Rhinolophus ferrumequinum: one gene and its partners. The protein of the gene in region 3 purifies or fractionates together with the protein of the main gene of each other region. This does not show direct contact. Links are inferred from orthologs where the notes say so. Each region holds a gene or a part of one and is shown on either strand. Other genes may lie near its edges.

Region 1 (7,552 bases), on a different chromosome or scaffold from region 3:
TGTGAGACCCATGTGGGGACCTGGTCTTAACAAGTGGCTCCTCCCCTCCCCATAACTCAGCTCTGGAAAACTTGAGGCACGACCCAGAAGCATCGGTGTGCATCCACGCGGCCCAGGCCCAGGACAACATCCTGGCCAGCTGCTGGCGGAACTCCTGGCCACTGCCCCATGAGGACTCCTGGGTATGTGAGCCGTCTACCACCCACTGCTGGAGCTCGAGCTGTGAGAACCTGCCCACTTCCCACCAGCGGCGCTCCTGGATCATGCAGGCACTGGGCTCCTGGAAGATGTCCTTGAAACAGTGATGTCCCTGAGCCCCCAGCCCTCAGGGGAGGCCACAGGCCCAGCCATGCTCACTATAAATGCTGCGTGGCTTACCTCTCCCTTCTGAGTGTTTCCTCATGGGAGATGTCCCAGGGCTGGAGCAGTCATTGCTCTGTGCGACAAATCTGTGAAAGGAGCAATGCCTTTGTCGTTGACTCAGTTGACATTTATGGACTCACATAGGCTGTTTGTCCACATTTTATAAGTGGGAAGCTGAGACCCAGGAAGGTGAAGCTGCTTGCTCAAAGCCACACAGTAAGTCTGCTGGAGGTCCCACAGGGAGAGTCTAAGAACAAAAGGAGATGATGATTCAAGTGCCCCCTGGGGGAGGAAAAAAGAGACTCCTCTCACCCCATGACATCATGCGTCTCCCAGAACCTTGATCTCTGAGGCCCACCTTCCAGTCTATGCCCATAGATGTGGCAGCCTGCCACTCATTCGGGCAACATTTATTGAGCAACTAAATTGGGCCAGGCCTGCTCTGGGTGCTAGAGATACAGACATGAATGAGACCCAACCCCAGGCCCTGGGCAGTTTACGGTCTGATGCAGTGGTTCCACGCCGGGGTTGATTTTGACCCCCAGTGAATATTTGGCAATGTCTGGAGACATTTTGGGTTGTTACGACTTGGGGAAGGAAGTGCTATTGGTGTCCAGTGGGTAGAGGGCAGCAATGCTGCTAAACATTCTACAATGTACAAGAAAGCCCCCACCGTGAAGAATTATCCAACTCAAATAGTCGTAAGTGCCAGCGTTGAGAAACTTTGGTCTAATGGAAGTGTTAGACATGTAAAGACACCAACAGCCCGGCAGCTCAGTGTTCTGATGAAGGAAAGCATGGGAGCTATGGAATCCCGAGGAGGTATAGAGACCAGCTGGCTGTTGGGGTGTCAGGGAAAGTTTCCCAGAGATGAGATTCTCCCTCCAGGGGATTTGAAAAGACGACCACATGGTGGGCGTGTATGGAGGACAGCAGGGCACATGGGACCAATGCCCAACTGCAAATTGGGAGGTGCAATGGAGCCCAAATGGGAGGGGAGTGTTAAGGAGGGAGACTTCATCCAGAGAGCAGTGGGAAGGCATGATGGAGAGGGGAGAGGCAAGCAGGGAGAGAGGTCTGCTCTAGAAAGCTCCCTCCTCATGGGGATACAGGAACTCCTAGGCACGGCTGTTGCGAGGGGAGATGTATGCAGCCGTTTTGGACAGGGATCTGTCTCTTTTCAGTCATATTACGTTTACATATACACATGACCCTGTGATTCCACTCATGGGCACATATATATCTCAGGGAAATCTTCTCACAGGTCCATAAAGAGAGATGTATGAGGAAGTCTATCCTCATACAGCGTTACTTGTGGTGCCTGGGAGGGAGGCACCTGGGTATGCATCCTGGGGGGTGAGTGAGCGCGGTGGCAGCAGTTAGAGGCAGTGGGGGTACATATAGCACCACGGATCGGAGCTAAAACCTAGTGCTGAGTGAAAAAAGTATATTAAAAATGTATGCCCAAAAGACATTGCATTTTGCAAGAACACTTACATGCTGAAAATACACATTAAAACACATTAAAGTGGCATAAAAGGGAATAAATGAAAAAGGGAGCAGAAGAAAGCTCACTCTGAGTGGAATGGAAGGGTGGTGGCCAGGGGGTTGTGTGAACAAGAGCACAGGCAGGGAGACCTGTGCTCAGCGGCTTCAGAGAAGAAGGGGGAGACGTGCTAGGCTGCGGTGTGGGATGGAGAGGGTGGCCAGACCTGTGTGAGATGAGGAAGGAGAATTTTTCAGAACCTGGTGGTTGATGAAAGAAGGGAAAGAAGATCAAGGCACCAAGAATGGTGCCCAGGTTTCTGGGTGGATGACTGGGCCAGTGGTATCCCCCCACTGAGTGATCCCTCAAACCAGGAGCAGGTATGGGGAGGGATGAGTCCAGTCTGGACGTGATGAGCTTGAGGAGCTCGTGCGCCATGTTAGCGGAGATACCCACCAGGTAGCTGGCTGCATAGGGGTGGAGCTCAGCAGAGGGATCTGAGATGGAAACAGTTTGGGGATTCCTCTGTGTACAGGGGTGAGGTGAGATTCCCTGGGCAGGTGTGTCGAGTGGACGGAGACATAAGCCTGCAGAACATCTCGATTTAAGTTCCTGGTAGGGATGAGGATCCCATGAAGTTGACCAGATAATCATCCTCCAATAAGTGGCAGGCCAAGGCCATCAGGATCCGGGGCCAAAGAGAGAGTAGGAAATGGGGGTGGTCCTTTTGCATAACCTTTTTCAGTGCCAGGAATGGTCACAAGCATCACCTCCGTGCGTTCTCACAGTAGCCATACAGAGTTATGGGGAGGGCAGGCTGGCTTCATTGCCCTCAACCGACAGATGAGGACAGGGCTCAAAGACGGTGGGCCTTGTCTAAGGTTACAAAGGGAATCAACATAGGTGTGGGTCCCAAAGGTCTCCCACCCATATCTGAGCTCTTTCTACTCAGACACTCCTGCTTTCATTGGCCAGAATCCAGGTCTAGGTGGTGGCCTTGACAAATGACAGCTGCCATATTCCGGGTCTGGGTGATCTTGAAGCTCAACAGAGGCTGATAGGCTCAGATACTGGCCAAGGCCCCCAAGTAGTTTTGAGTTGGAAGGGTCAAAGAGCACTGGGCAAGTCACTTCTATTCTCTGAGCCTCCCCTATAATCACCTGTAAAATGGGTTCTCACCTCCCGGGGTTTTCTAGGAATCAAATGAAAAACTGGAAGTAAAAGGACTTAGTAGGCTTTGTACTCAAGAAGGGAAAAGATAATGAAGAGGAGAATAAGAATGGGAACCATGGTTCGGGAGCAGACTGGAGGAAGAAGTGTGGAAAAGGAGGTTTGGGTGTGGAGGGAAGGGACCAGGTGCTCTGCTGCACGTGGGTGAATTAGAAGGGAAAAACCCAGTCCAGGCCCTCCATCTGTCATCCTTAGCCCTGTGGGCTCTCTCATCTTCGTAGCAAATAATAACCACGCCTGCCAGACCCACTGCTGGGCTTCAGCTCTCTGCTCTCCCCAGGTCTCTCATCTGCCGCTTTCTTGTCAATCTCTTAACCCAGCCTCCCCCCTCAACCTTTCACCTGGCAACCTGCCCTTCCTGAGACAAATCTGCCCTTGGGTCTTTTCAGTGGCTCACTATCCTCTGCAGGATGAGGCCAAGGGACAGTCAGGCCCTCTGGCCCCTGCCTCCTTTGCTGGCCTTACCTCTTAACTCTCACAGTACCTAGCATGCGGCTCTGTTGCACACCTCCATGCCTCTCTGCACATGGGCGGGCTCCCACTGCCTGAAATGCCCAACTTCCCTCCAGCACCCCCCCCACCCCCCGCATCTGCAGAGGCCTACCTCCTCTCTGCTGTCAGATCAGCGTCACCTCTGTGAAACTTCCCTCATACCCGCCCCCGCCTGCTCCCCTCCTCCGCCCACCACCAGCGCCCACTCTCCTCTGTGCAGACTTGTAGGCAGCCCGGGTTTCCCTTGGTCTACAGCCTGGCTGCATTTCCTTCTTGGCCGGGATGTGAGCTCGCCCAGGCTGTAGCATCCAATGCAGGGCCCAGGAACCATTTGCTGGGTAACCCAGTGGCTGCAGGAAGGCACCCCTGGCCTAGAGACCTTGTTTCCATCTCAGCTGAGGGGAATAGCGGGTAGTTAACTTCGGAAATACCCATGTCTGATCACAGCACTGCTTTCCTCACAACTCTCCAAACGGTCCCATTGCACAGAACTCTCAGAATCATGGCCCATTATCCCTGTCACCTCACCTTCTTCCTCATTCTGCTTCACCCCTGCCAGCTCCCCTGCTGGGGCTCAGTCCTGCCTTTTCCCTCCAGGGGGAACGCTTCCCCCCAACTCTCCTCCTTCCCCCCCACACCCACACTTGCCGCTCCAGGTCTCCTCCTCTGCTTGGAAAGCCTGTCTACCCGTTTAAAGCTTTTTTCCTCCGATAGCTCTTGCTGCCACCTGACAAACTCTAACATCTTATGTGCTTATTGTCTGTCTCACACTACCTGATCAACTCCTAGAGGGCAGGGCTTTTATCTGCTTTGCCCACCGCTGTATACCCAGTGACTACAACAGGCCTGGAACCCAGAAGCTTAGGAAATATGTGTTAACTGGCTGAACAAACGAGCAAACGAAGTGATACGATAGTGTGGTATGGAGGAGCGTTGGGTTTATTCACCACCCCAACAGCATTCGGGGGGTGGGGCTGCAGCACAGCTGAAGGGGCGCGGGGCGGGGCAGGTGCTCTTCGGGTGGAGGGGTGGAGCCGGGTCGGCCACGCCCCCAGAACCGCGGAACCCGAGGCGCAGGGGCTGGCGCCGCCCGGAGGATTAAGGGACGGGCGCTCGCACCGCCGGAAGTTGCCGGGAGTTCTCGGCGCCCTGACAGAGGCGGGAGGGCAGAGGAGCGACCATGGAACTGCCTGAACTGGACGCCGTCTCCGACGACGCCATGGACTCGTTTGTAGAAAAGTTCCGGAGTCAGTCTTACCGTGGCCGCTTCCATGAGGACCAGTGGGAGGAGGTAAGCAGGACTTGGGGCTCCGCATGTTTGTAGGGGCGTTGTGCGGACTCCTGGGGTTCCCGGCGCGGCGTGGAGGCGCGTCCCTCAGCCCCCGGACCCGTGGCGCTGTCAGCAGTTTCCACTTGAGGGTTAAAAATCGGCCTCGAGATTTTGAGGGTCTTCTTAATCTGCCTGTACATTTAGGAAAATTGGTTTTGGAGTCAGACCTGTGACTCCACCATTTACTGGCTCTAATACGTCAGTTACTTAACTTCTCTGAGCGGTCTCCTGACTCTGTAAAATTGCCCCAACTGTAGCACCAATCTCGTAGGATTGCGGTGAAGATGAAATGAGATGTGGGTAAAGCTCCAGGAACATAGAGCACTCAATTAATGGTAATCATTCCCGCACGTGTAAGAATATGATAAACGAAAGAATCTTTACAGATCATTTTCCTACACTCTCATTTTACAGCTGGGGTACTGAGGCTGGGATAGGGAGAGATAGCCAATCACGATGATTTGCAAATCCTGACGAGTAAGAAAACTTTGATGTAGAAACATGGAGTTGGATCTACTCTGTGGAAAATCCTATTTGTATAGTTTGTTCTTGTCTTAACGATCTCTAGGAATTTGAAAAGATCCCCCTATTTATGAAGAAAACGCCATCAGAAATTGATCCCATGGAGAATCCTGACTTGGCTTGCCTCCAGTCAATTATTTTTGATGAGGAGCGATCTCCAGAAGGTATCTTCCATGACTCAAATTTTTGTTTTGTGTCGCCATTGATTTGAGATAAAGAGTGATCAGAAAGGTTCTGATCGATAACAAGTAGTAGTTAGCCTGAGCTAACTTGTTACTATTTATTCAACATATACTTCTTTGGATACCTATTAAATGCTAGCTAGGCATTGGGGCACAGGGATGAAGAAAACTTGCCTCAAAGATCATGCTCCAGTGGATAGCTAGATTGTTCTGAAGAATCAGGATAAACGTGTGTGACAAGTGCCAACACATAGCTGTATACTAGGTACTGCGGGAACGCTGAAGGTGGAGAAGTATTAGTGGGCTCACCGTGGATCAGAAATTTGAGCTGAATCTTAACAATTTTGTAGGCTCTTACTAGGGGAATTTGCATTCCAGGGAATAAAACAACATAAGCAAAAGCAGAAGTATAATTCTCTGCCTTTCTTCCGTAATTAAAAAAAAGTTCTTTCTTCAAGAACTGGGATAAGTATGCTTTTTTCCTTTATGCTTCTTTTTTTGTAAGCACTTAATAGTCTCCCTTCATAGGTATTTGGAATTGATTGTTGCATTAAGTACTCATGACTTTGTTTCTCATGTTGATACCTAGTTTTATAGTATTTTTTAGTTTTCCTTCCCTGTTGATTTTTTCTCTTTGGTTTATTATGTTTCATTGTTGAATGATTTAGAAACTATTTTTAATGAGCCTTTTAAAAAATAGGAAATAGTGATTATTTCTTCTCTTCTTTGCAGAACAGGCCAAGACCTATAAAGATGAGGGCAATGATTATTTTAAAGAAAAAGACTATAAAAAAGCTGTGATTTCGTACACTGAAGGCTTAAAGAAGAAATGTGCAGACCCTGATTTGAATGCTGTCCTTTATACCAACCGAGCAGCAGCACAGTACTATCTGGGTAATTTGTTCCATTATTTAGTGCTTTCTAAAGAGTTAACGTGATAAAAGCCATTATGATGGCTGGTGGAGAGTTTGAGTATCAGAGGAAGAGAAGCTACCCCAGACACCTACGGTAGTTTAATTGAACTCTGATGTTCCAGGTAGACTTGGTGAAAAGGGAAGCCAGATGGATTGTATAATTTAAAAAAAATTATTCCCATCCCTTACCATCGTAGATTGTATAATTTTTACTACCTGAACCAAATGAGTGACATCAAATACCTTAAACACGCATTGGTATGATTGGGATTTTTTTAGCCCAGATTCTGCTTGTCTCTCTCAAAAGAGTTTTTTTCCTGGCCTTTTACCCTCTTCTCAAGGATGCTGGAAGGATTAAGGCAGTAGAGGTCTTTGTGTGAGAGAAACTATTAATTTAAGGGAGAATTTCTCAAAGAGTATTCTTTGGGACCGTTGAAGTAAAAAATATTCTTTGGACAAGTAAGTTTGGAAAGTGCTGCTTTGTTGGGGATTTGCAACATTAGTATGTTAAGGACTCTGAGATAACCTACAGCAAAGAACCGTACCCTGTGATTCTCAAGTTTTGTAAGGCCCATTTTCAAGTAAGACTTACTAACATGCAGTACTTTTCTGCAGACATGATTTTGGGAAACATTGATTATTCGAGTGAGTAATCTTGGTCATAGTAGATCCCTGTTTTTTATCACAGATTTTAAGAGGACCTAGAAATGACCCCAGGCATTTCTGAGGGACTGGGAGAGAATAAGCTTTGTAGTCTAGCTAGGATGAGTCTGTTGGAATTCCATTTAAGCAGTTTCTCTCCAACCATAGTCTGCTCCAACTGTTTTCTCATTTAGCCTGTTTTATTAAAAAATTCTAAAAAGTAAGAGTGGTATAGAACTTTAGAGATTATTTGGGCTAACCAACCCCCTTATTTGTGTAAGCCCAGAGAGGGACCCTTTGGTTAGTACCAGAACCTGGACTAGAAACTCAGTCTTCTAACTTCTGGAGGAATACATGTTCTTCATTCAGCAAACTGAGTTCTTATTCTGTG
Region 2 (7,570 bases), on a different chromosome or scaffold from region 3:
CGGCGGCTTTAACCCCTCCCTGGCCAGCTCTGGCCACCTCCACACTGCCCTCCTTCTGGGCCTGCCCCCAGGGCCTTCCCCAGCCTGACTCCCCCGCCCCCCGCTCCCCCAGAGCAGCCTGCTGTGCCAGGCTCTGGCGGGAGCTGGGGGCCCCTCACCCCGAGCCTGGGTTGGAGCCCAGGGGAAGCCTGAGTCTTCATCTCCCTTCCCCCACGCCTGCTACCACTCTCCTGTGTCTACAGACAGCCCTGGTCTCCTTTTTTTGCTCATCTGGGAGCAACCACATTTTCCAAACCTAAAGTCAGGATTTGAGGTCTAGCGGTCTGAGTGAACCAAAGGGCAAAAAGGCTAGATTGTTTGGACTGGGGCTGTCACAGCACATCTAAGAAGACAGCCTCTAACTGCACATGATTCATGGTGTTGCCCTTTTTGCTCAGCCTACCAGGAAGCTCAGAGCTAAAATTAAGGATCGTGACAGTAGCTAGTGGTGGCCAATGGATTTTGGAATATTTTCTCTTGTCCTTTTTCTTTAAAATTCCATTTCTGTTATAATGAGCAAATCAATTGTGCTTTTTTATTTTAACCCTCTTCAAATTTTCCAAGAATACATTTGAAAAGGCAGAAATTACCCACAATCCACAACAGCCACAGCCTCTCTCAAATTTGCTGTTTTTTCTTTGGGGGCTGGGGATCAGCCCAGCCCAGCTCAGCCCGTCATCGAGAGGCCCCCCTGCTCCATCCTGTGGTGGCTTGCCCTGTTCCCGGGACCCCGGCCCTGTGCCCTGCAGTGTTCCTGGAAGGTATGGATGTGCGCTGCAGATGGTGAGCTGCCAGGGGGAGATCGAGCAGACCCCCGGGGGTCCCAAGAGCTTCCTGGAAGAGATGGACAGGGAAAAAGGGACTTGAAGTTCCCTTGGGGCATCAGCGTCCCCTTCCCTTCTCTTGGCCTTGGGGCAGGACAGAGAGAATCTCCCACCAGCAGCGCTCTCTGTGGGCCAGGCACTCATCCAGAGGGGAGCTGATCAGGGGGCTCGCCTACCTTGGCACTAGCGCTGACGGGCACCTATCGGGCATTGTGGCAGCCACTGCCTGCCAGGAGCTCTGTGGATAGCAGGTGGGATGTGGATTAAGTCCACAGCAGGAAGGACACCGAGGCTGAGGGCACCTCACTGCCATGTCCCCAGCCTCAGCCCAGGCCTGGCAGGGAGAGGCAAGGTGGGGTAAACACAGGGCCAGCTGCACCCAGGGCACACTGCATGCCGGCTCCCCCCCCCCCGGCAGCCCTCTTGGAGCTCGAGCACAGGCCCCAGCAAGCCGGGCCATCTGGCTCTGACTCACCGACCAGGCTGCGTGGTGCTGGGCTGCCCTCAGCCCCCTGACTCTCTCACCTTGCCCTTGGCCTTCCACACTTACCTTCACTCAGGAGTCCTGGGGGTGTGGGCCTCAGGGAGACGGGGTGGGTGTATGGGGGAGTGGGCAGGGAGGTGTGAACACTGAGGGGTCTAGCAGTGTGGGAGTCCCCTGCAGCTGGCTGGCTGCCCCTCAGACTCCTGCGCCACCACACGCCCTCAGCGGGCTCTCTTCACTCTCGTACCTTGCTCACCTACCTCAGTTGGGCAGGTGCCAGACGATACTGCAGAGGGTCCTGGGGAAAATGCTCCGTCAGGGGGCTGTGGTGAAACAGTGGCTACTCGCGGCTCATTTAAGGAGAGTTGCCGAAATCTCGGACCTGTGGCAAAGAAGGCACCATGAACAAGGGGCCTGCGCCCACGTCATGGGAAGGCCTGTGAAGCATACCACACTCCAGGCAGCAGCGGACCTGGGAATAGGAACTTTATGTTGTCAATGATAATAAGAACAAGGGTGGACAAGTGGGTAGTGACGCCCTTGGCAGGCTGACAGGGGCCGCGCCTGGACCCTTTAGAAGTAATTTGGCCAACTCAGCCCAGAGCCACAAAAATACTCCTGACCTTTGACCTAAATGCCACCACTGAGCCAATGGAGAGGCCAAATGCAGGGACCACTTCGTTTGTGGGCGGGAACACCAAAGGGACCAGCCAGCACGAGGTGTGTGGTGGGCAGAATGGGGGCCTCCAAAGGAGCGGTCCTCAGCCTCAGCCTGCCCCCGGAACCTCACAATGCGACCTTATTTGGGAAAAGGGTTTTTGCAGGGGTCGTTAAGGGAAGCTCTTGTGATGAGGGGATCATCTTGGAGCATCTGGGTGGGACCCACCTCTGATGACAGGTGTCCTTATAAGTGCTGGGTGGTCATGTGACGATGGAGGCAGAGGCTGGAGCAATGCAGCCAGAAGCCCAGGGATGCCTGGAGCCCCCGACGCTGGAAGAGGCAGGCAGGAACCTCCATAGGGAGCCCAGTGCTGGACACCTGGATCTGACTTCTGCTTCCGCGACTGTGAGAGGAAATTTCAGCCAATCGGTTAGTGGTAATCTGTCATAGCCATCTGGGAAATGAAGACAGGGTGTGAAGAACTGAGGGTCAACCCAGGCCTATTAGTGGAGGAAGAGGGGGCTCACCACCCCTACAGGCCCGAGGGACGGGGAGAGGGGCAAAAGTGGAGGTGCCCATCCCCTGCCTCCCTCTGCTGCTACTGGCCATGCCCATTGGCGAACGCCACATAGAAGCTGGAGAGCAAGAGGGCCTGAGATACTGCATGGGGCTTGTGGTGGGGCTGGGATGGCTGGGAGAAGGAACAGGGCGGGGGGAGGCACGTAGAGAACAGCTCACACAGGCCCACACCCCACCACGAGCACTTCTGCTAAGGTCACAGTTCTGGGGGCAGAAAGCAGAAAGCTACAGAGGGATGGCTGCTCACCTCTCAGAGACCAGGAGGCCAGGGAGGGGCTGTGGGCGCCGTCCTGGGGAGGGACGTGCCAGAGACAATGCAGAGCCCTTCCTGAACCTCAGAAGAGCCTTGGAAGGCCAGGCCTCAGGTGCCGACAGCTGGCCCCTCCTGCCTACCCCACCCAGGCTGATCCTGCTTCACCTGCCAGCTCTTTCCACAAAAAAATGGGTGTGTGGGGGGGTCAAGCCCAATCCAGCCCCCCCCACTCCGAGAAAGGGGGCCAAGGGGACCAGCAGTCCACATCCATCCTGGCATACTAAGTTACTGATTAAGTAACCAGGTAATAGATTAGAGCAGAATGTGTCACTGTGGCCCCGGGGATGGCATATCCTGGAGGAGGACCTAAATGTGGGTGTCCTGGGGCTATGCACTGGAGGGGTCTGGACAGCCCACTTACAGCTCAGTGGGCCCCGCTCCGTCTGGGGTACATGGTCATAACCAGAGCAGGCAGTGATGGCAGCCTGTGGCAGAGAGGGGCTGATCTGCCAGGTGGGCACAGAGGGATGGGTGTGAGGGCTTCCTGGCGGTGGGGCCCATCTCAGGCCCTGAAGTCTGACCTCCGTGGCTTCTGGCAGCAGAGGTAGCACCTGAGATGTGGGTGGCCCCAGCAGCCAGTCAGAGGGGCGTTTATTGCTCATTTGCCTGGTGTGCAAACCGAGTCCTAGAAGCCACAGCCAGGGGGGGCCGAGGCACTTGGCTGGTGCCTCTGAGCCATGCCCAGGTGACACCCTCTCGCCTCTTTTGCTCCTGGAGGGCCTCAACACTTCTGGGCTTGCCTGAAAGTGGAAGAGACCCCTTGTGAAGTTGCGCTCAGAAGCTATAGTCACATGGGGTCCTCCCCAGCTCAGCTCTGCACCACCCTGCAGTGCCCCGGGGCCTGGCACATCTCAGGCCAGCTCAGACTTTGCAAGCAGCTCCCCTCGTGATCCTTCCTCAGAGCTCTAGAGTTGGCCCCCCACCTGGGGCCCCTAGCCCTTGCTCTCCATTCTGATGCCCGTCAAACACCCAGTCTCCAAACTTGTCACCTAGGGATGCAGGATAATGACTCCCTCTGGCAGGGAACTCAGGCAGCTTAGCTACATGTGCCACAGGTGCTTAATAAATGCAGCAGTGAGCCCACAGCTTCTGGGGTGCCGTCCTCTTGCACTCTGGCCCCAAGCAGACAGGCAGAGCGGCCCTTCACCCTCAGGCTTTTGCTCACAGCACCAGCCCCCACACCGTCCGGCGCTCCTGCACCCGAAGACCGGCTGCTCACATGTCTGGGTTCAGCGTGGGCAGCACCTTCTAGGTGAAGCCTCTCAGACATGCTTCACCCACCGAGACCACACTGAGCCCCCAATCCGCGGCCGGGTGGTAACCGGACTGCGCGCTGAGCAGAGGCCTGCTCTTGGCCTCCCTGGGCGCCTAGCGGTGCGAACCGAGACCTCACCCTTCAAGCCCCGGCTCCCACGCCCTCGGAGACCGCCCGGCGCCCCCGCCCGGCCCCGCCCGGCCCCGCCCCCTCTAATCCCCTCCGCGGGCGGGGACGAGGCGAGACGCGGCCCCGCCTCCGGACCGCCCCAGGGGAGGGGCGTGTCTCCGCTCCCGAACGCGCCGGGGCGGGCGGGGCCGGGGCGGGGCCGGAGGCGGGGCGCGCGCGGGCCGGCCCCCACTGGCTGCAGCGCGCCCGGCCGCCTAGGCTCAGTGCGCGGTGGCGGCGGCGGCGCGGGCATCTGGCGCCGCGCGGTCCTTCTCGGCCCGGCGCACGGACGCACCGGCGAACCGACGGCAGAAGGGACGGGGCGCAGGCGCTGGGCCGGCAAGCAGCGAGCCGAAGCAAGGGCCGCGCGCAGCGAGTTGGGCGCCGGCGGCCGCCAGGTCGGTGCGCGGGGGCCGGGCAGGCGCGGTGGGGTCGAGGTGGGCGCGCGGCGGGGCCAGAGCGCCCGGCGGGCCGGGACCCCGAGCAATCTCCATGGCGAGGCCCGGCCGGGGCGCGGGCTTCCCGCTCTGGAAAGTTTGCGGCCGCCGCCGCCCTGGGAGGGCTCAGCAGCAGCCAGGGAGGGAAGGGGGGAGGAGGGAGGGACCGCGGCGGGAGGAGGCGGCCGGCGCCAGGCGGCCAGGGTAACGAGCTGCCTGCCTCCTCCCGCAGACTCCCGAGCGGCGCCCTCCTCCCGCCGGTGCCAGAGCGGGGCCATGGGGGGCAGCATGCCCACGCGCTCCGCCTGAGAAAGCCGTCGCCCCTGCCCCCGCGATGGTCGCCCCGGCTTGCGTCCTCGTGTTCTGCGTGGCCGTGGCGGTTGTGACCCGCGCTGCCTCGGGGCCCCAGGGTGCGGAGCAGCGCGTCGTGCGGAGAGCGGCAGGTAAGGAAGGATCCGACGGGCACAGGAGAGGGGCCTGGGGCCCCGGCAGGCAGAGGGCATCGCGGCCGGGGAACGGACGCCTGGGTGGTGGGGCCGCGGATCTGAGTGGGTCCGAAGGCGCGTACTGGGCTGGCACCGGGAGGCCAGTGTCCGGGTTTCTGCCGCCCTTCCTCCCCGGCGATCGTGGCCAGAGCTGGCGCGGCAGTTTGTGGGGCGCCTGGAGCCGCAGGGCTACCACCCAAGTGCGAGGCTGAGGCAGGGAACTGGGCACGAGGTGGCGTCCTCAGCTCCCGCCCCCGCTCTTCCCTAGTGGGCGCAGTCTGCCCCCAGGCGCCATCGGGAGGGCGTGGGGGCTGCGTCTCCACGATTCCTATTGTTGTTCTGCGGGTTTTGCAGTGACGGAAAGTTTCTATTGTTGGTGCTGTTCCCCCAACCCCTCTAGGGCCCCAGTTCATGGCTAGCTTCGGCCAAAGCGAGGGGCAGGACTTTGGAGGGAGGGTATGAGAGTGCGTCAGCCCGCGGCCCGGCCCTTGCCACCCAGTAGCCTGCATGACAAGGCGACACCTTCTAGTGCCTCCGTACCCCCACCCTACTCTCATGTCCAGTGGATGAAGGTGTGTTCTCCCCAGAAGTGCGCGCCGAACGCCAGGGGGGACACCAGGAGGTGAGAGGGCGGACGTCCGAGGGACGTGGAGCCGCGGACCCCAGTTGGTGGTCAAGGTCCGGCGGGACGTCGAGGGTCTCGAGGAGGGCTCCGCCCGCTGAGCTAGGGCAGCGGAGGGGCGGAGCGCGTCTTTGCTCCAGGCCCCGCCCCGCACACGCGCCGCGGCCCTGGAGGTGTAGCGCTCGCCCCCAGCGGAGGCCGACCGGGCGATCCCGGTATCGCCGCACCTAACGCGCGCTGCCAGGCTCCGGGCGGCAGGGCGGAGACGCGTGGTCCGGCGGCCGACCGCAGGGAGCCCGCCCCTTGGGGACAGCCAACTCCTGGGCGCCGGCGAGTGGGCTGTGCGCACCCTGCCCCCTGCCCGGCGGCCGCGCGGAGGGAGGCCTTAGCCCGGTGAGCTCACGCCCCACCCGGGCGGACCCGAACAGCCGCTCCTTTGTACCTCGGCGTGGCTATAGACGCGTATTGACGGCGGGCGCCGGGGCAGCCTCGCGGGGAGGTGTGAGCGCAGCGGCTGCGGGCGCGCCGTGCCAGCGAGGCGGCGGCCGCCGGCAGGACACAGGCAGATGGCGGCCCGCCCCTCCCTGCGGCCCCCCCCTTCTCCGCGCCCCTCTCTCCGGCAGCGGCTGCAGCCTCCCGGAACAATGTCATTTTTTTATGAATGAAAGTGGGCCCAGCGCTTGAATGTGCGTGTCATTCAGCGGCGTGACAGAGGCCGTCGGGAGGTCAGCGCGCGCTTTTACGCCTGCTCGGGCGGCCCCCGCTTCCAGGGGCGCCGAATAGGCGGCCGCGGGGGGAGCCCTGCATTAGCATTCGCATTCAGATAAAGATATTACTCTCTACGCCCAGGGAATGTCAACTAGCTCCAGGGGAGGGGGCAGCGGGCGGGGCTCCATACCCTCTCCCGGACCCCCTGCTGCGCGCGGGGGTAGTGGCCTCCTCCATCCACCCCCCTTCCCGGAACTGGCGGTGACTGCGAGGCCCGGTCCTGGGACGCAGAGCCTGTGGTGCCCCCACCGGGTGCGGGCGTGGGTAGAGCGATAGGAAGAACCTCCAAGGATGCGGGAGGGGGCTGGGCGCCTTGTCCCTTGGCCACAGCCTTGGCGCCCCCGCACTCCCGTCCCCGCAGTAAAGGTGGTGAAACAGGTAGTGAGTTGATAGGTCAACAAACTTAATCCAGTTCCTTAAAGAGATGGGCCGGGCAGTAAAAATACAAAGGCCTCATGAAATTTCCAGAGGTCCGGCCTGGCTGGCACTTTCCCAGGATCATAAATTATGGAGCCAGAGCTGGCCAGGGTCAAGGACTCGGTGGGAAAGGTGTCAGCTTGGGACTGCCCTGGTCACCTCAGGCCCTACCAAGGCAGGGTCCTCCACACGAGGCCATGTTGTTGGTAAGGGTCTGGGCAGGGTCTCCTACCTGGAAGGGAGGTTGATGGGAGCAGCAGGACGCTGCCACCACCCACCCAGCCTGAAGGGGTCTCTTCAGTGCACTATTTCACCATTTCCCGGAAGGCATTGGCTGCAACCTCTCCCACTACCTCCTCCACAGAGCTGGACTTTGAGCCTCTAGGGCGTCTGGGTGGTTCATTAACCTGGGCTGAGCCCCCGGCTGGACTTGTGGCCTCTGAGCCCCTGCACTGAGCCCATGAGCGCCCCCTCCCTCCAGGGCCTCAGGTTCCACTTGGGGCCTGTCCACGAAAGAA
Region 3 (7,130 bases):
TGTAAACCCTATGGAACTGGAAAGGACCAGAACTGACAGAACACACCTGGCAGGTGCTGAGCTTGTTCTGAGAGCTAAGGGTCCAGAGCTATTCCCCATGCTGTACAATCCCTGATGTCCTGATGCCCCCTGGGTACTTTGTTCACCCATTGCCCTTTATCTGAGCACCCCTCAGCAGCCTCCTACATGCCCTTCAAATGCCAGTGGTGCTGCCCAACTAGGAGATCTCTCAGTTTGAGCAGCGGCAGGAGGCCTCTGCCCAGCCTGAGTCTCCAGGCTCCCTCCAAGACCTCACCTAGCGTTAGCTAAATCAGGGGTCTGCACACCTTTTCTGTAAAAGGTAAGAGAGTAAATATTTTAGACTTTGCAAGCTATGTGGTCTCTGTCAGAACTATCAACCATGGCATTACACCACGAAAGCCCCAAAGACAACATGAAAACAAATGAGCCTGAGCATGGCTGTGTTTCAGTAAAACTTTGTGGACACAAATTTAAATTTCATATATTTTTCACATGCCAACATATTATCTTTTGATTTTTTTTCCAACCATTGAAAAATGTAAAAACCATTCTTACCCATAGGCCATACAAAAACAAGCAACAGGCTCACTAGCTGCAGGCCATAGTTTGTCTTGTTTCATGTCGCCGCCCTCCAATGGCAAAAGGTTGGGTTGGGTCTTTGAGGCCAGGTCAGGAATAATGGATATCTAGGGAACATCAAGCATTGCAAGTACTACTGGGAGTAGGATTCTGGAGATCGGGGGAGGGGGGGTTTAAACCATCTTTAATAGCGGCCAGTGGCTTCTCTCACCCTCAGTCAAGGTCAGAACTTCTTAGTATCGCATTTGGGGCCTTTTCTAAACCTGACTCCTGCCTGCAGAGTCACTTTCAGCTCTTCCTGCCTTCCTCAGTGGTTCGTGGACTATGGTCCCTCTGTCAGGGTTGTGCCTTGTTTTTCTCTTAGACTTGCACTGTGGCCTGGCTAGCCATAGCCCTAAGCCTGCCCCCTTCCCTGGGCTGAGTTAGGAGTCTCTGACCTGCTCCCATACTTCTATGATTCACATTTGGCCTGGGGCAGTCCCCAGTAGCTAAAGACTCCCTGTCCTTACGCATTTCTGCATCCCCAGGGGAGGCTCACAGTGGGGTCTTCCTGAGCATCAACGAGTGGGAGAAGACATCTTGGAAGGCTTCAGAAGAGACGTTGGAATGTCTGTGTTGGTTCAAGATTTGAGATTTTTCCCATTAGAAAACCTGAGTAGTCTCTGGTCCTGATAGTGATTCACAGGAGTGATTGCCGCTCTGCTTTGGACTTGTGTCCTGAGAGGGGAGACAGCTTTCCCACTCCATTTCTGTAGCAGGGTTGCAGCAAGGGAGTTAGCGTAGCAAAGGCTCTGAGCTGACTGACCCTGATGTAGTCCCTGAAGCCTTCCCTTCCCAATCCCTAGAATATGCAGACTCACTTTTACCTCTTCACAGGACTGTGAGATGTTGTGAATGCTCGTTGTGAACTAGGAAACAGATTTGTAATTAGCTAGGTCCCTTCTGCCCAGAGGGAAAGGGGGTGTGTTAAGGGACTATGCTCCTAGTTTGAGATTTCGATCAAGGACAGAGACTCTTGGAGCCTTCCTGGAAGCAGCACAATGCCTTTTCCCATACTCTATTACATCTCCCAGCCACAGGCTTCTCGCAGACCAGCATGATGGGGTGTAGATGGGTCAGGAGAGATGAAACTGGGGTGTTGGTGGCAGGGGTGATGAGGTCTGGGATGTGAGGCAAGGAAAGCCAGGGTCCTTTGTTCTTTGGAATTCCACACACGAACAAAGAAAATATGAAGGAAGGAAAGAAAACTGGGCACCAAGGCCGGCGACAGAGGACTTCAGGTGGTGTTGGGGGAACACCTCCCCAGCATTGCAGGGACAGACAGAGTGGGTCAGGAAGGGAGTTGATGGACGTCCTCTTTGGTGAGTCACAAGGTCACAGAGCAGGGAGTGGCCATTCTTTCCTGGAGAGGCTATGGGTCCAGCAGCCTTCCAAGATAAGGCCTTAGAAAGGCAAAGACAGTTTGCTAGCTGGAGGGCGTGCAAAGTTGCAGAGCCGGGTGAGGCAAGGCAACCTGCAGCTCTCCGGGCATAAGGCGTCACAGCTGAAGGAGGACAACTTGGTTCTGGACGTCTGAAGTGGGCGCTATGGGCCAGTGTCTTCATGTGGTCTCCAAAAGGCCCTGCCATTCTGCAGGTCCCCTGGAGACCCTCCCCTCCCCAGGTGTAGGTAGCTGCAGAAGGAGGGTGAAAAGAAACAAAACCAGATTGAGAAACAGCTCTATGTGCTTACAAGGTGTGATCAAAAACTACGGTGAATGTTTAAATTTAAAAAAAATTATTACAGTAAAAGACACATTGGCATTAATACCCCTTGCTTTGAACACACTTATCCCGTGATTCTGGCCACTTTCTGGAGCATTTCTGGAAGTCCTCTTTGGTGAGCGTCTTTAGTTGCGCTGTTGTGGCTGCCTCGATGTTCTGAATCGATTCAAAATGTTTTTCTTTCATAGTCATTTTGACTTTGGGGAAGAGCCAGAAGTCACACAGTGCCAGATCCCGTGAATAAGGTGGATGAGGACACACCATAACGTCTTTATTTGACAATAATTGCCGTATACCAGAAGCGATGTGTGACACAGAGCGTTGTCATGATGGAGGAAGAAGACAATGGCAATGTGTCTTTTACTATAATAAATTTTTTTCCTGTTCGGTTCCCCCTTTCCACCTCTCCCCCTTCCAGTTCAAGCCGTTGTTTATCAGTCTAGTTGTGTAGGACACAGCTTCCTGGCCCATGCTGGTATTAAGAGCCTTGCGCTCCCCCCAGCTGAGGCAATGGGGTCATCAGTTGGCAGCTCACAGCGGCTCATGCCTGCTCAAGGCAGCCCAGCTCCAGGGAGAGCCGTTGTTCACAATCTTAGCTGTAGAGGGCGCAGCTCACTGGCCCACGTGGGAATCCAACAGACTACCTGGGCATTAGGAGTACAACGCTCCCACCACCTGAGGCACCTGCCAGCCCCAACACATTTTTTTAAATTTAAACATTCACTGTATCTTTTAATGACACCTCGGTATGCAGGGAGGTAACACGTCTCTGCATTCCACACTTGGTCAGCAACAGAGGCTGGGTCCCAGCCAGAGGGAGAGTCCCTCCCGAAGCGACCTATCTCGGCTCGCTCCAGGCAGCTCCTGCAGAGCAGGGTGCTGTGTCATCGATGAGGGACAGGAGCAGTCAATCACTCCCTTTGGGCTCCATCCCACCCAGTGCCAAGCTAGGTGGACCCGGTAAGTTGGATAGAGGGTCCCGCAGGCGGCCTTCTAGAGTACAGGGGATTGGAGCAGCCCACCCTCTCCCGAGTGACTCTGGTAGAATTGTCGCGGCGCCACAGAGACACCGCCCAGGCCGCAGCGGGCGAGGCGGAGCCTCGAGGGAAGAGGGTGGGGCGAGGGCGGGGCCGCCAATTGGGGTCTGGAAACTGCTGGAAGCGTCGCAGTACTGCCGCTGTCTCTCCTTCCGCCGCAAAGAGTCCCTCCACCAGTCTGGGCCGGCGCCACGCCCCGCTGCGAAACGCTGGCCCTTCCCCCCGCCCACCACCCCACAACCACCGGAGAGCCGGAGCCGGCGGCTGCCCGAAGTTCAGCCTGGAATTCTGTACCGCCCCAGAGAAAACCCCTTATCGGGATGTAGGAATGTGCAGAGCAGATTCTAAGAGGGAGGTCCATCTAGACTGGGAGCGGAGGTCGGAGTGATTGGCCACCTCCATCCGCCCCTTTTTAGGTGTCCCTCAAGGCCAGGAGTTAGCAGTGGAGGGGCCTGCCCCACAGGTTTTAAGGGAAATCAGTGGGACCCTCGACCCTAAATCCACCTGGATCATCTAAGCATTCCCACCCAACCTCTAATTCTGGTGGGGTCACGCCCGTGAAGTGCGGAGATGGGGATACGTAAGCCAATAAAAAAGTGTGCGCCCCTTGCAGACACTGAGAACCACTGCTCCCGCTCTTCACTGTCTCCGCCCCGATTTTGGCCATGACGTCAAGGTGGGCGGGCGGCAGCAGGTGCGGAGCTGACAGACATCCTGCTTTAAGGCGGAGGGATCCGTGGGAGGGCTGTACTTCGCCCTATATAGAGCGACTAGGGGGTCACACAGCCCTTCTCTTGAGTTACCCCCACGCACGCTTTCAGCGGTGTGTGAGCCGGTCACAGTCGGTGTCCACCTTTCTCCCTAGTACTTGCATCTCTTCACCTTTAAGGTAAGGCCGCACTTTTCTCTTTCAGCCTTTTCTGTCTCTGAGCGTATTTCGTCCCTCTTTTCCCTTCCAAAGGCCCGATTTTGTTGTGCTGGGCTGCCTTTGGGATGCCACAATTTCTAGGTGGGTGGGAGGGGGTTCTCGAATGGAGCTTGTTTTGCCTTGTATGCTTAGGCGGCGGAGTTTCCCCCGGGCAACGACTAGCCTTGGCCGAGGTGGGCCGCGGAGTGGCCTTGGGGTAGTGGGCTACTGCACGTGGTGGCTGCGCCGGCCCGGGACGCTGCCATCTTTGCCCCTCCATTTCCGGACCGCGGCTACGGGGCGCTAGAGGGTCCGCAAGGGTTGTGGGTGTGCGCGCTCGGTGTGACTCAGCACAGCCTGGTGCTGGTCTGGCTGTGCCACCTGTTTTATTTAGACGCGTTTCTCAAGTCCGTGAGGGTCTGCGATAAGGAACGCTTTGGCCCTCTACTGGCCCACCGTCCTTCTAGATCTTTCCTGTATTCGCGTGGAGGAGGGGAGGAGGCGGGTTCTGGAAGATTCGTGGGCTCCTAAACCCCCGCCCTTCTCCGAGAGCTGAGATTGTTCTGGAAGCTTCTGGAGCCCGGCGCCCCGCCCTGGTGCCCGAATGCTGGAGCGCAGGGAGGCTGCGCGGCGGCACCCCGTTTTCGCGTGGCCCTGGCCGACGCATGTCCGGTAGTGACGAGGGTCGATCCGGTAGACCACGGCCACCATCTTAGTTGTGTTTAGGCCTACACTTGAGTCACGTGAGCCGAGGGGTCACGACTGTGCTTTTGTTTTATCGGCTTCTTTGTCTTAATAGTCCCCCTCCCCTCCCGGCGGGTATCCCACCGATCTCGGGTTACCCTCCCCTACCACGTGAGTCAGCAATCCCGTGCTCGGGCGAGGTAGGAGGTACCTACTTGGGAAGCAATTTCACATTATTGCCATTAACATAAAACGAGTGACCGGGTTTTTCTCCTTCACCTGGACCAAAAAGAGGTAATAAAACTGTGGTTAGTGATTTCTACATTGAAACGTGCGTGTGGATTTCCTGGAATTCTTAACTTGAGATACGTGGGTTGGGGGCCAAGATTCTGCATTTCTAACAAGGTAACCCGGTGATGCTGAGGCTGCTGGTCCGTGGAACACTTAACAGTAGTTTGATTTCCAAAAAACCTGCTTTTCTGTTTCGTTGAAGAACGTGTTGGCTTCCCAGCCCCCAAATGGTTTGCGACTAAGGGTGCAGTCTGAAATCTTGAAGAAAGCAAAGCCTCTTGGGGAATGGCTAGGTGGTACCTCACTCAGAGCAGTTTGAACCAACTGTCTCCCAGTGTTCACTGTGATTGGGGTTTGTTTTGGGAGTCTTAAATTCAGGGCCATTCCATTCTTTTGTAATTCTTGACTCTTCTTATTTAGATGCCTGAGGAAGTGCACCATGGAGAGGAGGAGGTGGAGACTTTTGCCTTCCAGGCAGAAATCGCCCAGCTTATGTCTCTCATCATCAATACTTTCTATTCGAACAAAGAAATTTTCCTTCGGGAATTGATCAGTAACGCTTCTGATGTGAGTGCTGGGGAAGGGGTGTTCGGGGCTGGATGTGTTTTTAGCAATCCGGAAAAGTGATGAGGGGTGGTTTGGCATTTTTGTGGGGCCTGCTATTGAAGGGGATAAACCTAGCGTTCCAAACAGGTTTGTCTTACTCTCTGGATAGATGGGATAGTGTAACTAACTGTATGTGGCTTTGAAACTTCAAAGGGTATTCAGAATTGAAGCTATTGAGGAGTAAAAAATGAAGTTTTTTATTGGATGAAGAGTTGTGCTTTAAGAAAGCAGCATTGTAAAAATAAAATTTGTATTTCCAGGCCTTGGACAAGATACGTTATGAGAGCCTGACTGACCCTTCCAAGTTGGACAGTGGTAAAGAGCTGAAAATTGACATCATCCCCAACCCCCAGGAACGTACTCTGACTCTGGTGGACACTGGCATTGGCATGACCAAAGCTGATCTCATAAACAATCTGGGAACCATTGCCAAGTCTGGTACTAAAGCATTTATGGAGGCTCTTCAGGTGTGTGGTATTTTAGCTAGGCACACACCATCCGTGTTTATCTAATGTTCTTTGGCTTGCTGTGGTTTTCGAAATTTGTTTTGACTTTTTAAAACTTTTTGGCAGGCTGGTGCAGACATCTCCATGATTGGACAGTTTGGTGTTGGCTTTTATTCTGCCTACCTGGTGGCAGAAAAAGTGGTTGTGATCACAAAGCATAATGATGATGAGCAGTATGCCTGGGAGTCTTCTGCCGGGGGTTCCTTCACTGTACGAGCTGACCATGGTAAGCTGGCTTAACTGTAAAAGTGTCTGGCTTAGAATCCAGGGGAAATTTAAATAGACATCTTGAGTGTCCTACCTGTAAAGCAGTTTCCTTTCACTACAGTTCTACATTTAGTTTCTTTTTTTTTTTTTTTAAATGTTCCATTGTGATTGACTTTGTAGGTGAGCCCATTGGCCGGGGTACCAAAGTGATCCTCCATCTTAAGGAAGACCAGACAGAGTACATAGAGGAGAGGCGGGTCAAAGAAGTGGTGAAGAAGCACTCACAGTTCATAGGGTACCCCATCACCCTTTATGTGAGTATGGGCTGGAAACTGTCAACACATGATGTCTGCTCTGGAGAATTGCGTGGTTCCTGGTTTTTTGTGATCCCTGCTGCTCTGTACTCTGAAACTATTGTCTTTGGTACTTTCAGTTGGAGAAGGAACGAGAGAAAGAAATCAGTGATGATGAAGCAGAGGAAGAGAAAGGTGAGAAGAAAGAGGAGGATAAAGATGATGATGATAAGCCC
Region 4 (7,029 bases), on a different chromosome or scaffold from region 3:
CAGAAGTATTTCCTCTATTCATGAACAACTTGAAATCCTTCAATTTTACAATAATACAGACCTGTAGAGACCAAGCAGCTCCCCAGACCAAGAAATGTGACCAGAGCCCTCACTCAAGAAAGGTATTCATATACTAGGTAAAGCAATCAGCAACTTCCCAGGAAAATGTAAGGCTTTAAATCAGCTGAAATGTAAAGGCTCTGAAATTAGCCCTCTGGCTCCCACATCACTTTCTCTTTTCTGGTGGGCAAAGAGAAATAAATAATCTCCATGTATAGAATGCTGATCTATTTTGGAATGGCAACTAATACATTTTTTATTTTAGCCTCTCAGCTGCTATGGGAGAAAAAGAACTTTGCCAGAGTGACAGGCAAAAAAATGAAGTCCATTTCTTTTCTCTCTAGAGATACTAAAGCTAAGGAAATAAAACATGTAGCCATTTAAAATGCTGTCATCATGAGGTCTAGTGTCTTGAAAGCTCCTCTCATTTTGCCCCCTGCGGAACTGTAACAATTTAGTAGCACAGCAGGATGTCCCTGAGTCTACAAGCAAGGAAGGAAGGAATCCCTGCTGAGCTTCACAAAAACCCAAGAGGCCCATCAACTCTCAGTGTCCCCGAGTGAACTGGTAGTAGGGCTGTAATGAGAGACATGACTTGGTCAAATGACAAACCAAACCAGATAGTGAAGGGCACTTGTAAGGGATGTCCCCATCTCTGCCCTCTGCTATGGCTACATAGGATTCCAAGATACGTGAGAAATATAAACAACCTTCCCCCAAAACTTCTAAATTCCCATTCCATTTTCAGCATTGGAAAACCATACATAACAAGGCTTTTTCTTACTAAAGATCCCAACATTTACCTTCTGAAGGATGGCAGAAAGTCAAACCGTGATTTTTTTTTTAACTTCGCTATATTTTCCTTTTGATTTGTTCACCTAAGTGGTATATGATAAACACCTATGTCTTATTATGCCTAAAAGAGATCTATATAAATATGTATAACATATAAGTCTATTTGGTAAGAATGCATTTTTTATAGTTATTTTTAAATTACAGTTCTTTTTTCTTAGTGGTAGAAAAAACAATTGTGCATTTTACAATTAATGACATTTTAAGTTTCATGAAATAAGGCAGTTAATGTAAGTCAACATTCTCTCTTATTTGGTTGTACTGCTACCAAATATCATATGCTTTTGTGTAATGTGGTCACATTGTCGCATTACCAGTTCTATGCTCAGGTTCATATACTACTTTATGATAGAATATCCTGTGAGGCCATAATTTTATTTTTTAAGGAAAAGGATTTGCTTTAGATAGGGGACTTTGAACAGGAATCCAAATTAGGGACAATCCCTACATCACAGCTTTACACTGAGTAAATGAGTTTTTTTCAATTATGTAACAGCCCAAGACCCTAATAATAGCACAAAGAACCCCAAACTGTTTCCATATGAAATAAATCCTTACAATTAATTTAGGCTCTGTGTTGGGGGCAGTTTTATTTCCCATTTTGCAGTTCCTTAATGAAGCTGATGCTGCTGAATTCTAAATACCTGGAAAGAAGGAGGACAGATGTGAAGACTCAAAACTAATAAGAAAGACTAGACTCTGGTACCCTGACTTCTCTGATATCCCACGGACCTATACTTTGTCAAGCCTCTCAGCTCCCAACAGGTCAGGAATTTGGAACCCTGGCTGCAGTAACTATCCTTAAGCTTGGTAACTATTCATTCTGCCTCACTGAATACCTCTTACGTGTCTAACTTATGTTTCTAACTTGGATAGCAAAAAAAAAAAAAATCTCAGAATCCTGATTTCAGATCTCATGCATCAAAACTTCAAATCACCCAGATTGAAAACATAATGAAATGGCCTTGGTACAAAGACATGAAATCTGTAGGAAGGAGACTGAGGGGATTGTAGACAATCTGTGCTGATAAGGGCTCCAAACTTCCAGAACCTTTTCCTTAATGTTGCTTCAGGATTAGGACAAGTATGACTACCCACAACTGTGTTCCAACCCCATTTCCCACAACCTGCTTTAGCTGTAGCCAGAATCCAGAGTGTTCTCGAAAAACACTCACTCAGCAGCTGCCTTGGCTAGTCGGGACTGGCAATCTCGAGCCCCTGCGGCTGCCCGGTAGTGCCAATAGCGCCCAAGGTGCTGCCCTCCTTGCTGCTTAAAATAAGAAAGCCCAGTCCAGGGAAGAATGCGGATGTAACTCGGAAGGGTACACGGAGGGATGGAGGAAGAGGAGTTTGACGTGTACAGCGTGAAACAAGCCCCTCACTCCTCTTTCTCTATCATCTTCGACTTCTGGGTTAACAGGGAGGGGGTGGCGACCAGGTCAACAATGGAGACACACAATCACCTCAGACCCCGGCTAGTGCTCCCTGAGATACAATTACGGACGAAAACGAGTAAAGAGAGCACAAGCTGTGGAGATGCTAAATGCTGATAGACAACAATGCACAGAAGTTAATAAGAGAAGGCGGGGGGGTAAGAGGCAATGTAAGGAAGTTGACATTGTCGCCGCGCCGCCTCCCCCACCCCGCAACAGACCTCAGATACCCTCAGGGACCAGGTCTCCACCATAAGGACCTTCCTCTCTGCAGGAGAACGAGGCCGTCCGTGCTTCAGCAACCCGGCCAGGCGGAAGCGGGAGAGGAGGACCGACCTCCGAGAGCGCCCCTTCAGGGGGTCCATCCGGACTAGATCTCAGATTGGGGGGGGGGTCTGCGGAGGGCGGGGCATCTCCTCAACAGCTAGGGGCTGCATCCTGGCAGGGACCGGTTGCCCGGAGCCACGGAGCTGAAGCTCCCCCCTTCCACTACACTGCCACCCCGTTACCTCTTCGCTTCTGCGTTGTCGGGCACCTCCGGCTCGGTCGCCGCCATTACCACATCGCACTCCGCGGCAGCCGCCATCTTACCGCCGAGACCAGAGAGCCGGGTGGGAGGCCGGCGGTGAAGAGCACTTCCGGTCGGAGCATAGAGCAGCTCGGAGACGCTGCGCCCAGAGGGGCTCCCTCGGGCCCGTCTACCAACGAGAGGCTCCGCTTCGGGCCAGAGCGGCCTCCCGCCCCCGGAGGTCCACGTTGATCTCCGCGCCGGGGCGGGGGCCCAGGGACAGTTCTTGTACGTGGGGGGCGCCACTTTACCCGTGGGTCGAAAGGGGGTTACAGGAGGGGTCGCCTCTCTAGCCTTGACTTTTCTCAGTATGCCGAAAACCTCGTTGCCATAGCAACTTCCAATCCTGTAGCGTCTCGAGGGAGTCTGAGTTGGGTGGGGACCCAGTGACCCAAGACTCTGGAGGGAAAGAGCGCTCCCCACACTACTACCTTCCCGATCTTGGAGTGTGTCCACAGCTTCCTCCTGGGAAAAGCAAGAAGAGACACTTTGAGCCCGGTTCCCCTAGCTTTCATCGGCCCCTGGAAGCCCTGCCCAGCCAAGCTAGGGGAACGCAGGGCGTCTTCACCCCACGCCTTTCATCCTCTCTGGATCTCCAGGCACCACCTGGTTCATCACCCTAATGACGCTGACCCTTTTATGAGGTTCCTTTCATGTCAGCCGCCTGGGAGTGCCATCTCAGCATTAAGCCCCAGTGGCACAGAGCCCCAGACCCTGCCCTCGAGTTTATAAGGCAGCTCGCGGGGTGAGGTCCCTGCCCCAGTGCCCTCAGTATTCCCACCCCTCATATACACTCCCTGCTCACCACGCTTGTCTTTCCGAATGCAGTCTGGATTGGGAACTCATAGAAGGCAGGGACACAGCCTAATCGTCTTTGTAGTACTTAACCTCACCCAAACCAATAATTTTTGTGGGCTTGAATTAAATTGAGGTTTCCTGAGGTTAAATTGAGAGAGTTTGAGGTTTAAAATTTAAAACTATGGGAAACTAAAATAAGATGGGAGCAAGGGAATTTAAAAAGGATCTACCTTCTTCCTCCAGTAAAACAGTATATGCTGTTGTCCCCAGTAAAACAGTATGTGCTTGCGTGGTCTCTGCCTATCAGAGTGCCAAAGGAGCTGAAACCACACCCACCATCGGGTAGGGGAGAATGGGAGAGGCTGGGTTGCAAGAGAGAGAACATTTATCCAGCGCTCTCCAAAGTGCTTACTCTCCCTACTCTAGGTTGGGAGGGCACGGACTCACAGACCACCTGCCCTGTCTGCCAATGGCTCAGTCTACAGTCTAATGTAGGAGGCAGCTTCTCACCATCTTCCCATTTTGTGTTCTCTGCATCTATGCCAACTCATCTACTCCCACAGCTTTAACTTTGTTGATGACTCTCAAGTCTGTTGCTATCTCCAACCTAGACTGCTCTTCTGAGTTCCAGATCTATATATCCAGATCTATATGCCAAAGTCTCCTAACTGGCCCCCTAGTCTCATCTCTTTCCAACCTTCAGTCTTCTGCCAGAGTGACCTTCTTAAAAGCAAAAATTGATGTCGCTTCACTAAAACCTACCAATAGCTTTCCTGGCTGTTAGGATACAGTTTGAACTTTTTGGCCTACTACACAAAACCTTTGATCATTTGGCTCCTTTCTACCATCAATATTGAACCCAAGTACTTGTAATTCCAGAAAATGCCATGATTTTTGCCGCGCTTTCTCCACCCTTTCCTCCCAAGCCTTTCAAACCTCAATACAGACATGACCTCCACCAGGAAGTTCTCTGTGGTGCCCAAGGCCCCCAAGTTAAATGCCCCCTTGCGGTGCTCCCATAGCAGCTCTGTAATAGTTCTTACCATGTTGTATTCTAATTGGTGGTTGAGATGTCTAGCTCCTCTAGACGGTGCCGTTCTAATGGGCAGGTACCATGTCTAATGCGCCCCCTTTTCCAGGTTCGTTGTCATGTACCTGGCATAGAGTAGGTACTTAGAATAAACGATTGAATAAACGATTGAATAAATGAAATGTTCCTATCCTATAGTAGCCTTCACGGAAAGAACATTTGGGCATCAGACACACCAGAACCGCACCTAGAGTGTAGGGAGCCTAGAACCTTACGATTCCGCTGTGCACCAGCTGCCCCGATCCTGGCCGTCATTTGCCTTTAGGGCCTTTGGGGGGCGCTGTGCGGACGGCGCCCGCTCTCCGCCGCCGGAATTCGTCTTGCCAGACGGAAATGGGCGGGGAGGGGGGGAGGGCAGGTCCTGAGGAAGCCCGAATCGACCCGGAAGAACGGTGTCCTTGCGGCGGTGCTGCCCCTCCCCTGATCCCGGCGCTCCTCTCGGGGCCTGGCCGGGGTGCTGCGAGGGCCCCGGGAGGTACGGAGCTGGGAGGCCGGAATCGGCCACCGCGTCAGGGTCGCTTTAGGTGGCAGATCTTTCCCGCCTTTGATTCCCTCTGGGGGTCTCCTCTTGGGGAAATTTGGCGGAGGCCCCGCTGGCTGTCTCTCTCGGGGTATCGTTAATTTCAGGGCTCAGTCTATGGAGTCCTTCGGGTGTGGGGAGGAGGATCTGTATCAGGAGTTTCCTCTGGAGAGGTTTCTGTTTGGGACCCCTTTTGGGAATGATCTCTGTGTCTCTGCTCTTTGGGGGAATCTGTCTGGGACTCCTGGGAAACCTGTGTTTGGAATGCCTTGGAAAAAAAGGTCCCTGGGACCTCCTCTGTGTCCGAGCAGGGGTTTCTGTGTCTGAGCTTTCTCATCTGGGTCTAGCAGTGCAAGGGCAGCAAAAATTGCCTGTTTTCCAGAGCCTTTTCCCCATAGATTCCTTCCTCCTTTCTTGTCTGATGGTCTTCGTCTTAGCCGTGGACTTAACTAGGAATTATAGGGAATTAATTATTGTTTAGATAAGTCGTACAGGAAAGCAAAAATATCCTCCTTATTTGTTCACTCTCTCCAGGAAGAGTAGCTTAAGACAGATCCACATAAAATAGTATTCCTGCTTATTTCTCTGTGGGGTTGTAGTTAAAAAGAGGAAGCTGAGGCTTAGCCCCCTTCCATGTCCTCCGCGTCCTGTGGACACAGGAACCTGGCCAGTGGTTCATTTAAACCAGCCACTCTCCCCTTTATGGCAACATTTACTGAACACCTGCTCTGTGCCCGTTACTGGCCAGGTATTGGGAATAACAATGGTGAATAAGATACAGCTCCCTGTCCAGTAGTGGACTTAGGCACAAAACTTCTGACATACACCCTGACTAGAGCACGGGACAGTGCTGAGTCCCTGAGGCTACACATGCAGCTCAGAACTGGGGCTCTCAGTTATGGGAGTGCTGCCCTCTGTTTTCATCCCACCTCACCCAGTGTGCTTCTGTTTTTCAGGGTTGAAGGCTAAGCATGGGGAAGAGCTGCAAGGTGGTCGTGTGCGGCCAGGCATCTGTGGGCAAAACGTCAATCCTGGAGCAGCTTCTGTACGGGAACCATGTAGTGGGTGAGTGTTGTTGGGGGTAGGGGAATGATAGAAGGTGAAGAATAGCGAACAGGATCTGATAACAACACACAGAGGCTAAGAGCTGCTCCTGGTGGTTCTTGTACCCCAAAAGAGTAAAATTTACATTACGCCCCCCAGCCCTACAACATAGAGATCTGGAGGAAGGAAGTCCAGTATCTGATATGAGGAAGGAATGCCCCCAAGTCACACTTTTGTTTGGCAGGGTATGAACATGTGATTAATGTCCCTTCCCCCAAATCATTCCAGTCCTGCCAGACTCAGTCTCTGGCCCCCACATTCCTTTCTTTCCCTGTCTGGTCACCCTGTCAGGATATACACGTATATGCTCACTCACTCACATTTCCCATCTCCTTCCTCCCTACAAACAAGTTTTCTCCTCATTTTATCCCAGGTTCTGAGATGATTGAGACGCAGGAAGACATCTATGTGGGCTCCATTGAAACCGACCGGGGGGTGCGGGAGCAGGTGCGTTTCTATGACACCCGGGGGCTCCGAGATGGGGCCGAGCTGCCCCGGCACTGCTTCTCCTGCACTGACGGCTACGTCCTGGTCTACAGCACAGACAGCCGAGAGTCTTTCCAGCGCGTGGAGCTGCTCAAGAAGGAAATCGACAAATCCAAGG

The links.
Region 1: the proteins of HSP90AB1 (region 3) and TTC4 purify together in Homo sapiens (co-immunoprecipitation; 3 studies listed by BioGRID and IntAct, with this or other methods). This does not show direct contact. The link is inferred for Rhinolophus ferrumequinum from reciprocal best matches to the Homo sapiens genes HSP90AB1 and TTC4.
Region 2: the proteins of HSP90AB1 (region 3) and FGFR3 purify together in Homo sapiens (affinity purification with mass spectrometry; 3 studies listed by BioGRID and IntAct, with this or other methods). This does not show direct contact. The link is inferred for Rhinolophus ferrumequinum from reciprocal best matches to the Homo sapiens genes HSP90AB1 and FGFR3.
Region 4: the proteins of HSP90AB1 (region 3) and DNAJC7 purify together in Homo sapiens (affinity purification with western blotting; 3 studies listed by BioGRID and IntAct, with this or other methods). This does not show direct contact. The link is inferred for Rhinolophus ferrumequinum from reciprocal best matches to the Homo sapiens genes HSP90AB1 and DNAJC7.

What each region holds. Positions count from the first base shown.
Region 1 is NC_046292.1:39,238,674-39,246,225, forward strand, and holds the start of TTC4 (tetratricopeptide repeat protein 4), read left to right. Parts: upstream 1-4,548; 5' UTR 4,549-4,751; coding exon 4,752-4,862; intron 4,863-4,868; exon of another isoform or gene 4,869-5,033; intron 5,034-5,469; coding exon 5,470-5,587; intron 5,588-6,337; coding exon 6,338-6,499; intron 6,500-7,552. Other genes in the region: MROH7 (maestro heat-like repeat-containing protein family member 7), read left to right, coding at 61-305.
Region 2 is NC_046288.1:87,185,510-87,193,079, reverse strand, and holds the start of FGFR3 (fibroblast growth factor receptor 3), read left to right. Parts: upstream 1-4,559; 5' UTR 4,560-4,721; intron 4,722-4,992; 5' UTR 4,993-5,094; coding exon 5,095-5,203; intron 5,204-7,284; exon of another isoform or gene 7,285-7,418; intron 7,419-7,570.
Region 3 is NC_046286.1:13,470,961-13,478,090, forward strand, and holds the start of HSP90AB1 (heat shock protein HSP 90-beta), read left to right. Parts: upstream 1-4,129; 5' UTR 4,130-4,289; intron 4,290-5,149; exon of another isoform or gene 5,150-5,285; intron 5,286-5,702; coding exon 5,703-5,849; intron 5,850-6,148; coding exon 6,149-6,355; intron 6,356-6,460; coding exon 6,461-6,620; intron 6,621-6,781; coding exon 6,782-6,915; intron 6,916-7,034; coding exon 7,035-7,130. UniProt on the Homo sapiens protein: Molecular chaperone that promotes the maturation, structural maintenance and proper regulation of specific target proteins involved for instance in cell cycle control and signal transduction. Undergoes a functional cycle linked to its ATPase activity.
Region 4 is NC_046304.1:37,894,147-37,901,175, forward strand, and holds the start of DNAJC7 (dnaJ homolog subfamily C member 7), read right to left. Parts: upstream 3,005-7,029; 5' UTR 2,932-3,004; coding exon 2,855-2,931; intron 2,586-2,854; exon of another isoform or gene 2,567-2,585; intron 1-2,566. Other genes in the region: NKIRAS2 (NF-kappa-B inhibitor-interacting Ras-like protein 2), read left to right, coding at 6,293-6,386, 6,799-7,029. UniProt on the Homo sapiens protein: Acts as a co-chaperone regulating the molecular chaperones HSP70 and HSP90 in folding of steroid receptors, such as the glucocorticoid receptor and the progesterone receptor.